Linked DNA regions of Cricetulus griseus. The protein of the gene in region 3 interacts with the protein of the main gene of each other region in a pairwise test. Links are inferred from orthologs where the notes say so. Each region holds a gene or a part of one and is shown on either strand. Other genes may lie near its edges.

What was found.
Region 1: the proteins of Esr1 (region 3) and Med25 interact in a two-hybrid assay, tested with the Homo sapiens proteins (2 studies listed by BioGRID). The link is inferred for Cricetulus griseus from reciprocal best matches to the Homo sapiens genes ESR1 and MED25.
Region 2: the proteins of Esr1 (region 3) and Tram1 interact in a two-hybrid assay, tested with the Homo sapiens proteins (2 studies listed by BioGRID). The link is inferred for Cricetulus griseus from reciprocal best matches to the Homo sapiens genes ESR1 and TRAM1.

Annotation. Positions count from the first base shown.
Region 1 is NC_048599.1:153,715,496-153,718,513, forward strand, and holds part of Med25 (mediator of RNA polymerase II transcription subunit 25), read right to left. Parts: intron 2,144-3,018; coding exon 1,955-2,143; intron 1,661-1,954; coding exon 1,589-1,660; intron 1,488-1,588; coding exon 1,269-1,487; intron 1,134-1,268; coding exon 953-1,133; intron 536-952; coding exon of another isoform or gene 438-535; exon of another isoform or gene 406-437; intron 1-405. UniProt on the Homo sapiens protein: Component of the Mediator complex, a coactivator involved in the regulated transcription of nearly all RNA polymerase II-dependent genes.
Region 2 is NC_048595.1:147,041,603-147,045,354, forward strand, and holds the start of Tram1 (translocating chain-associated membrane protein 1), read left to right. Parts: upstream 1-1,165; 5' UTR 1,166-1,332; coding exon 1,333-1,455; intron 1,456-3,752. UniProt on the Homo sapiens protein: Involved in the translocation of nascent protein chains into or through the endoplasmic reticulum (ER) membrane by facilitating the proper chain positioning at the SEC61 channel.
Region 3 is NC_048595.1:282,651,362-282,654,549, reverse strand, and holds part of Esr1 (estrogen receptor), read right to left. Parts: intron 1,862-3,188; coding exon 1,627-1,861; 3' UTR 1-1,626.

The DNA.
Region 1 (3,018 bases), on a different chromosome or scaffold from region 3:
GGAGATCTCTGTGGTCCTGCGTCCCCAGGACAAGTCTCAAGCATTCCAGTCTGGCTCCTCCCTGTAATGCTCATGCTCCAGGAGCATCCACCTCCTGACCTTGCCTGTCCCTTTACTGTGGCTTTGGCTATCTGCACCTTAGTACCTCCTGGCTCCCAACTGCTGCTTCTCCTTCCAGGCTCCTCGGAACCCTGGCTGGGTCAGAGGCATTCTGGGCTCTGTAACCCCTTGAGTGCACATGAGCTGTACACTATCTGCCCACCTGCCTCTGAGTCTCCCAGAACCAGGCCTCACCATGCTGCCTCCAACTCCCCCCGTGGCCCAGCATCACCCAGCCGGGGCCTTGGGGAGTCTGCAAGGCGAGAGCAAAGACAGCCCTAGGGGCGTCAGTGACGGGAGCCGGGAATCGTTAAAAGGAACTTTATTGGGTGTTGGGTTCAGATGAGGTCCATGAGGATGTCGTCCTCCATGACGCTGGGCTGCAGGCCCGGCTGGGGGACCGGGCCCCGGGGACCCCCGCTCAGCAGCATCTGACCTGGGGGGCAGTGGGAAGGGACTGCATCTCCCAGTGGTCCCTGGGACCATTGAGGACCCTGGACCTCTCATCCCCTCTTCTGGGAACCCAAGGCAGTCAGGTTTCTAGGAAGCTCCAGGGACCACCAGAGCCAGGGATCCTTCTAAGCCCAATTAGATGCAGACATTTTCCTTTGACCCTTTGGGAGCCCTTCCCCCGACAGCATCACTGACCCTAAGGTATCTTCCAGCATCCCAGGGCAGCATATAAGGATTATGGAAAGCTCTCACTCACTGAGGCATTGTTCCCATGGCTAAACTTCCCAATGGCCCTCTAAGCCCCCTAGAGCTATGGGGAGGCCCTTTGGTAATGGGGTCCTTGCCAGTGGCTGCAAGGACTCCCAGTCTAGACCTCTACCCTCCCCTAGAACACCCTTACCTGGCAGTGGAGCCCGCTGGGGAAGCTGTGTGGGCCAAGACTGGGCAGGTGGAGGGTGGAGGAGTTGTGGCCCCAGCTGGGGCTGCCCCAGGCTCTGATGTGGTGGAGGCAGCAGTGCAGGGGCCCCTGGAGGCTGCAGGTGGTGGAGGGAGGCCTGGGGTGGGGGTACCCCAGTCTGGGGCTGGGGAAGACAAAGAATGGCTCAGAGGGCCCAGTCTGTGCTCCAGAAAGGCCCTGCTGGTACAGCCCACCCCTTCCTCCCAGAGATACTGGGTAAGAACCTGCAATTCCCTGTTGCTCTATTCCCATGCCTCACCGGTGGTGGGTTAAGGAGGAGGCTCCGCAACTGGGGGTTGGCCCCAGGGTTCTGGGGCCGAAGGATAGGTCCAGAAGGTGGTGGGCCGGGGGCTGTTCCTGGAGGACCCTGGGGTGCTCCTGTGGGGGCCTGGGTAGTACCTTGTGGCTGGGGCTGCCCTGTAGCCACAGAGGCCCCCACAGCACCCTGAGGCTGGGGCTGTGGTGCACGGAGCTGGAGCTGGAGAACAGACAGCGTGAGCAAGGACAAGCAGTAGGGAACTGCCCTAGCTCCACCCAACCTCCATCCCCAATCCCACCAGTCCCCACCCAAGTCCTCACTAGGTTCTGCGGGGGCCTCGCTTGGTCCTCCAGAATGGGGCCCAGGCCTGGAAGTGCCTGCTGTGCCCCCATCTGCACGGGGACAGAGAGGACAGATCAGTGGTGAGGGAAGGCTGTCTGAACCTGTTGGAGGACCTGGTGTGTAGGAGGAAGGTGCCTTTCTTTGGGGACATACCATCTAGTAGGTGCATCACACCCTGCCTGACCAATAAGGAAGGCCTGTATCAGGGACTGCCGTGGAAACTGAGAAGGGACTAAAGCTGCTCTGCTAGGACACAAGGGGCACATTGGACTCAGACAGGCGGCTTATGGCTGACTGGGCTCTGGGGAGCTATGAGAGGACACTGGCTTGCCACTACCACTCACCCCTCGCTGCTGCTCCAGCTTCTGCTGCTGGACCTGCTTGTGGTTGGTGATGACCTGGCGGATGCCATTGACAAAGCCACTCTGGTCGTAGGGGATGAGGCCCATGAAGATCTTTTTCTTAGATGAGTACAGGAGCATGAGCACACGCACCTCGCATGGGGCTGTATGCGGGAAGTGCACGCAGCCCGCCTGTGGACAGAGACTCTTCAGAAGCAGCCTACCCGAGAGGCATGGGCTAGCCTACCTCAGCCTATAAAATTCTACAAGCCTTATAGGCAAGAGGTAGGGAGGTCTCACTGTACAAGGCCAGGGAGGCCAGGTTGGCGCAGCAGCTGCCCTGGAAACAAAAAATTGTGAGTGACAGGCACTCAAAGGGCACAGCAAGACCAAAGTCCCTGCTGACCACCGAGGAGACAGCAGGTCACACCAGAAGCCCATGGTGACCCTGACTGAGTGGCTCTACCTCATGTCTCCCACTATATAGCACTGGGTTATCTCATCAAATCACACTGGACAGGGCTCCACTGGGGAGGGTGGCAGGAAGTCAGGGTCAGACCCTTGAAGGTGGCTCTATCTCTGCCAGGGCCTCCAGCATGGACCAGAGAATGGCAACATCACAAGGATGCCATTTTGGGATTCAGAGTCTCCATGGGCTCTCAGGGAACTAACTGGCTTTGGCTACCTGGGTTTACTTCTCAGGACTTGCAGCTAGTGCATCAACACACCCCTCTCCTTAACCCAGTCCAGCACAGAACAGGCAGTGCCACCCAGGCCAGATACTGGAGTGTCCTCCCCTACAGGGGTGCAGCCTAGGAACCCAGCCAGGCCCAGATAAAAGGAGGCCTGGTCAGAAGTTGTGAACATTTCTCGCTTCCTGAAGTCATTGCCTCTTCCAAATGTTTAAAGGGACTCAAAAGCTAAGGTAACCATCTTGAGCCTGTGAGAGGCCTAGGCATTGAGGTCACTGAGCTCTCCTTCTGTATCCTGGCCTGCAGCAAAAACAGGCCATTTGTTGGAACATTCCCTCAGAATTCAGTGTTTTCACTGAGGAGGACAGCAGATGA
Region 2 (3,752 bases), about 140 Mb from region 3:
ACGAAAACCCAAAAGAATAGGTTAATTTGAAATTTTCCTTGAGTTCCTGGTACTGGGGGGACTCCCATTCCATACTTTTTGAGTAAAGAGATGCATAAATAAGGAAATTGGGTCTCACAGAAGTAACTTGTCTAAAAATGCAGATAATAAGTTGAGCATTATTCAATAACCACCTTTTAAAACCACCATGATTACTCCAGAGATTTAATATTCCCGGGTAGGTCCCCTTCTGGGATTTAGGAGAGTGGCAATGGGGATGGGAGGCTGAATTGCTTTGGTTTGGTGCTGGAATGGATATCGAAAGATAATAAAAAGATGTGACATACGCTGATTTGGGCTTCTAGATTGGGCAAGTAGTGCAACCTTTCAGGAAAAATAAAGATCCCGGGCTCAGCACAAGTAGGAAAGAGGTGTGGCAAGGGATCTTCTTTCACAATTTCCTAAATAGCGATAATACGATGTAACAAGTAATCCCAGTGGAGAGGGGGAGTCTGGAGGAAAAATTACAAAAGAACTGAGGCAAGCAAGAATTTAAACCCAGTCCTTTTTTTTTTTTTTTTTTTTTTTTTTTTTTTAACTGCGAAACAATCTGTTGCTATGTAGCCCTGGATGGTATTAAATTCACAGCACTTCTGCCTCAGCCTCCCAAACCAAGGGATTACTGGAGTCAGCCACAATCCCTGGCTCGGCCGCTGCAACGTTTGAAGTCAGATGCTCAAACTATCGAAAACCCCTTTAAATAGGCAGGCTACTTCTTTTTTCCAGATTTTCTGGACGGTGACTGTCGCTTACACAACTGCCCATCAGTGTGGAAGAACGCGGTAGCACCAAGGCCAGGACGGGCCAGGAAGGCGCGAAGGCACCGGGCAGCCGTGCACACTCTGAAGCACGCGACCACAGGCACCATTCCCAGGGAGCTCGCGCCCCAAACGACTCCCAACTCCCGGCCCGGCGCGAAGCCTCGGTGCGCCAGCCGTGTCCTGCGGCCTCCAGCCCACAGGGGGCGCTGTGAGACGCCAGGCGCGGCCAGGGCGCGAGCGCGCGGTCCCTCCCCTGTGCGCATGCTCGCCTCGGTTGCGGGCTCTTTTTTTTTTTTTTTTTTTCCCCTCTCTCTCTTTTTTTTTTTTTTTTTTTTTTTTTTTTTCGGGGCCGCCCGGCGGCTGCGTACTGGCTGTGGGATGGGAAGTGAAGCCCCAGCGAGCGGCTGCGGCGGGGCTGTGCGGAGCAGCCAGCGGGAGGCGGCGGCGGCAGCGGCAGCGCGGCGGTGAGCAGCCCAGAGCGCGGGACCGGGCGGAGGGAGCACCTGCAGGCACAGGCGGCGGAGGCTCCACCATGGCGATTCGCAAGAAGAGCAACAAGAACCCGCCGCTGCTGAGCCATGAATTCGTGCTGCAGAATCACGCGGACATCGTCTCCTGCCTGGCGATGCTCTTCCTGCTGGGGCTCATGTTCGAGGTGAGCCCTCCTCCGTCCCGGTTCTCGGCTCCCCCCCGATCCCCGGCCGAGGCAGGCGACCCCAGAAGAGCCGGCCGGCGCTGCGCAGCCCCCCGCGGCCCTGCGGCCCCGGCTCGGCCCGCCGCCCCCTCCCGCGCCGCGCAGTTCCTGCTTCCCGCGAAGGGTTACGTGGCAGCCGGCGAGGGGCCGGCGGGGGCGGCGGGCGCGGTCGTGGCGCTGGCCCTGCGCGGTGGGCGGACCCGGGGCCAGGGCAGCAGGGCCGGGTGACTGGCGGGGACCCCCCGACCCACCCCGGCGGCTGCCGCCTGCGTGGAGGGCGGGGACGGGGTGTCCTCACCCGTGGCCCCTCGCCCTGCCGATGGCCAGTCACCCAACTTTGTGCCTTGGCTCTCCGTTCCCGGAGGATCGGGTCTGATCCCGACCGAGGCTCGCAACAGCTGTGTTGAGGAGTTGAGCGATTTCGTTTCTTGAAGCAGAGGCGATGAGCCTGTCAGGAATGTGTAAATTCTCTTCCCACAGATCTGAGTGTTTTGATGACTTATTTAACAGCTGTTGAATGTGGGTAATGAAGTTTGCAAGGTGAACCTGTAACATCCTACGGGTTTTTTCCACCCTCCTCAGTACATCCGCCCACTCCCTCCCCCCTTCTAATTTTTTTATCTGTAAGCCTCTGACTCTCATTAAATGTATTGATGATTACCATTTTGTCTCCTCTCCCCTTGGCGTGTAACCTAGTGAGGATATTTTATTACACATTTTTACTAGTTTTTTTTTCTGTTGTCGAGAATAGAGCTCTAAAGATTTGAGTGTAAGCAAGAAACTAATGGAATGAGACAGCCGGTGATGAAAGGTGAATACGGTTTTGGTTTTTTGTTAGCCCATGGTGGGGGGGGGTGCTATGTTATAGATAACTTTCTATGTTATGTTTACCTCTCTTCTAATAGACTTTTCTGAATCTCCATATGGTACTACATATTCCTGATAGTGTCACATGCAGTTGTAGCCACTACTAAGGAGGTGGCAGAGTGAAGGGAAAGTAGAACTAACTTTGTCAAAAAGCTTACTCAGCAACCCAAATCTGAGACTTAATTTATCTCCCCTTAACAAACGAAATAGAAATCACTTGCACAGGCCACATAGCTGTTGTTGAAGAGTCAATCAGATAATTTGGCTTGTAGAAGTCTGACAATATTATATGATTGGGCGGTGTTTAAAATGTAGGGTTTGGTGTGTGGCCCTGTGGTAAAATGGTGCAGGGTTAGACAAGAGCTCTGTGCTTGGCCTGAACCCCCGGTCTCTAGTGCATGCTTGTTTCTGATGTGTCAGAAGCGTGGTCCTGGGCTCAATTATCAGCAACACACACAATATTAAATATTTGTAATCTCTGAATTTATGACCTTTTATCCTGCTAAAATATTAAAATAGTTGGTAGATGCTTATCAAGAGTCCAACGCAGGAGAATTGTGAATTCAAATCCAGTGTGGACTACATAGTGAATTCCAATTCCCTCCCTGTCTTAAAAATAATAGTAAAGTAATAAAAATAAAATGCAATCATTTTATATGCACAGTATACACAACAGTTTTTTTATGACTGGCCATCTCCAACTTCTGATGGTAACAGTTCCTGACTTAAGAGGCATAATTTAGGGATATGATAATCCTTACAGCTTATTTGCAGTTCTTTAAGTAAAGTGAAATATAAACCGGAAATTTGGACACTTAGAAATACCACAACCTCTGTTTTTATGCATTTGTATTCTGCTTTGTATTCTTTTGCCACATTTTCTAAGGAAATTCACTATTATGTTAATAGTTTTTGTTTGTTTTTTGTTCTTTTTGAGACAAGGTTTCTGTGTAAAAGTCCTGGCTGTCCTGGAACTCACTCTGTAGACCAGGCTGGCCTTGACCTCAAAAAAAAAACACCTGCCTCTGCCTCCCAAGTGCTGGGATTAAAAGTCTTAACACTAAGTGGATTGTTTTCATGCTAAATAGAAGCTTTTAAAGTCACTCCCAAAAGGAGTGAATGTTAAAATGGTAAACAGAACAGAGCAGTTTGTACAAGTCATTCATTTTCTTTAACCATATGTTAAAGATGTAAGTTTTGAAGACACATTTATTTATGCACAGGAGAAATTGACTGGCTGGTTTTTTGCTGTTTGACTTAGAAGTACAGTGTGTATGCTGAAACATAGAGATGCTGTTGTTTTGCAGAATTGTTACATCTTTTGTGGAAGAATAGTGACGAAATATTAGGGGATTTATGGTGAAACCAAGAAGAACTAACATGGTGTGTTA
Region 3 (3,188 bases):
ATAGAACAGACCAAGAGAAGCCTAGCCATTCCCCTGGGCTGTTGGCTAACACATCTCATATCTATGGAGTTCAGATTGTAGGTAATGAAGTCAGGGAAGGAACCAAACTTGCGTTTTGTTTCAGAAAAGGAAACAATCCTTAGTTTCACTAGAGAGGCCCACACCCTGGGGACTGTAGATGCTGTGACTAGGGTAAGCCTTTCTTTTTATCCCCTTGGTCAAAGGACTCTCATGGCCCAAATCTGGTCTTACTCTCTGGTTTATGACGTTTAGGTACATGAGCTGTGGGGAGGCATGGGGTTTTCTTCCCAGGGCCACACCAACTGCTGTTGGGATGAGTTCTGAATAGTCAAGGACACTCTAGTCTGAGCAACTCCTCAGCAGCTTGAGTCATGGGTGCTCCAAGACCTTGCCCCCATGACTCCCCCAAGCTCCTGGAAGAATTGCAGGAACACAGGTATCTACTGTTGCCTCTTCCAATCAGGCCCAAACCTAAAATAAAGAGACAACCAGCTATCGGATCCCAGGGCAGCCCCACTGTGTATCACTGTAAAGGACAGCCCTGGGAAACTGCTACCTGTGGCAGGTGTTTCAAAACATTTCTCCCCTACTTTCTTTCTTGATCAGACTCCTTCTGAGACACAATCATTGTACATTTATTATTTGTTCTTCACCCAAGAATAAAACTAAGTAAAACAAAAGGTATCGCCAGGGTGTAGGTTAAATGTAGCTGCCCCTTGGTGACTCTACATGGGGACAATTCAGGGCAATTCACATGGAGGGGAGACAGGGAGAGTGCCCTCTACTGATGAATGCTAGACTCACCAGAACAGGTACCAAGTTGCCTTTACTGCATGTCCCAGGGGCATAAGGCCATTATAAAATGAAAATCAAATAAAATCCCAACACCCTATAGCCCTCACATTAGGGTGTTAACTGAAACTGACTTACTGGTTCCCACCAGTCATGGGAAGTAAGAATTATCTAGAGCCCATAACCTGTGTACAGTGCTCAACAGTTGATGCTTTAGAAGCCTGAAGGTGCAGTATATTAAATTGACAGGGTCTTGACAATGGGGAGGGGGACAGTCTTCCTTCCCTGCATGCATCCTGTATTCCTATAGGGGCTCAAGATTTCCCTTTAATAAAATCAAATGTTGCTATAGGAATACAAGAGGGTACGTGTAGATTAAGGAACCCAAGAGAGAGCTTTCTCCAAGGCTTCAATTAAAGGAGCCACTTCCAAGTCTTTGCTGAGGCTTGCTCTTGGAGCCATTACAAAGTGCTTATCAGAGGTGAAATGTTGACTCTCTAGGCTTGGGTCTCAACTAGTAGCTTCAATGCAGCTATCTCCATTTGGTCAAGGAACCCTCAGACTTAGTGATGTAGCAAAGGGGGAAAGAGAGCTGTTACCAAGAATTAGCCCTGGAATCCCGTTTGGCTGTTCCCAACAGAAGACACGCCACTAAGAACTGAGCAAGCAAATGAATGGCCACTCCTACTAGAAAGCCACTGGTGGTGGATGCATGCCAGAGTGTACGCAGGAGACAGGATTCTGCTAAAGTGATACATGACATGGGCAAGATGCTGCAGGGATTCTCAGAGCCTTGGGGGAGCCCGGGAGCTCTCAGATCGTGTTGGGGAAACTCTCTGCTTCTGGGGGGATGTAGTATGTTTGTAAGGAATGTGATGAAGTGGAGCTGGTGGTGGTCAGCTGGCTCTGGCTGGGCTCCTCTGGGGAGACTCCCATGCGACTGGCTGGAGCATGCAGGCGGTGAGCATCCAGCATCTCCAGCAGCAGGTCATAGAGGGGTACAACGTTCTTGCATTTCATGTTGTAGAGATGCTCCATGCCTTTGTTGCTGGGGGAGAAGGGATGCAGAGAGAAGCAGGTTAGGTCACAGCTGAACTCCAGGATGCCTAAAATTCCTAGGAGGGTGAGGTAAGAGAAACTCCAAAGCCACTTGTGAACCAGTCTTTCCACCCATTAGGGAAAAATCTTTTGGAGGCATCTGGAGATGCCGAGGGGCTTCAGAGGCTCGGGCTGGGACTCATGCTCGTGTATTTTCATTTTCTCCATCCTATAAGGGGGCACCCCAACCATACTCTTTCTCCAGCTTCTTTTGGAGAATTTTCTATGCATTTTCCTCTCTATGATAGTTAATGTTGAATGTCAGCGTGACAAGCTCTAGGTATCTGTGGATGTCTACGAGGTCATTTCTAGCTTGCCTTGATTGAGATCAGAAGACCCACCCTAACTTTAGAAGCTTCATTCTATGGGCTGGGGTCCTGGCCTACACTTTCCAATGGCCTCTGATAATATTCAGAATAAAATCAAATTTTCTATCCAGGCTTTCTGTAGACCAAATGACCTGCCTTCATCTCCCTTGCAGAGAATACCCTGTCTGTCATCCTGAACTGACTAACTCTCTGTCATTGGTCTTTGAGTTGCTCCTTAATGGAATTAAGACACACATAGACCATAGAATCCAGACATTCTGTTCCCTTTTCCTGGATGCACTTCCATGGGATCCTCAAAGGCCTCTTGTAAGCAAGAGACCTTGGTTTCCCTGTGGCAATGGTCCAGCCTCTATCTTGCAGGCTTTTCCTTCCATATTACACCATCTTCTACCGGAGCTCAGAACAGCAGCAGTAAATGCTGCTCACAAGGAACAGTGGAGAAAATAGGAAGACAGAGATGTAGGCAAATGACTTTTCTCTTTCCTCTTGTGCCTCTTTGCTCTCTCAGGCAGGTAAGCAGTGGAAGTGGGAAACCCTAGCTCTTTCATGGCTTGAACTTTTATAAGAGGTATGTACCTGGGTGTGATGGAGAACACCTGTAATCCTAGCACTTTGGAGTGGGGGAGGGTAAACTTGCAAACTCAAGGCCATCCTACATTATATGGTATTTTCCAGCCTAGCTTCAACTCTATAATGAGAATATTTTTCAAAAAAAACTAGAATAAATAGACACAGCAATGTATATTGTGTATATCATGAACGAACAGGCAGAACTAAGAGAATGTCCTTATTATACTTCTATTGGTGGTAGTAACAAGCCAGCCCAGGTTTGAGCAGTGCCACAAAACACAGGAGAACCAATAAGAACTGAGACCCAACCTCAATTGCATGTCTAAGTATTACTTTGTTTATGTTTTGCCTTTTAATTTAAAGCACTGTTGGTGTTTA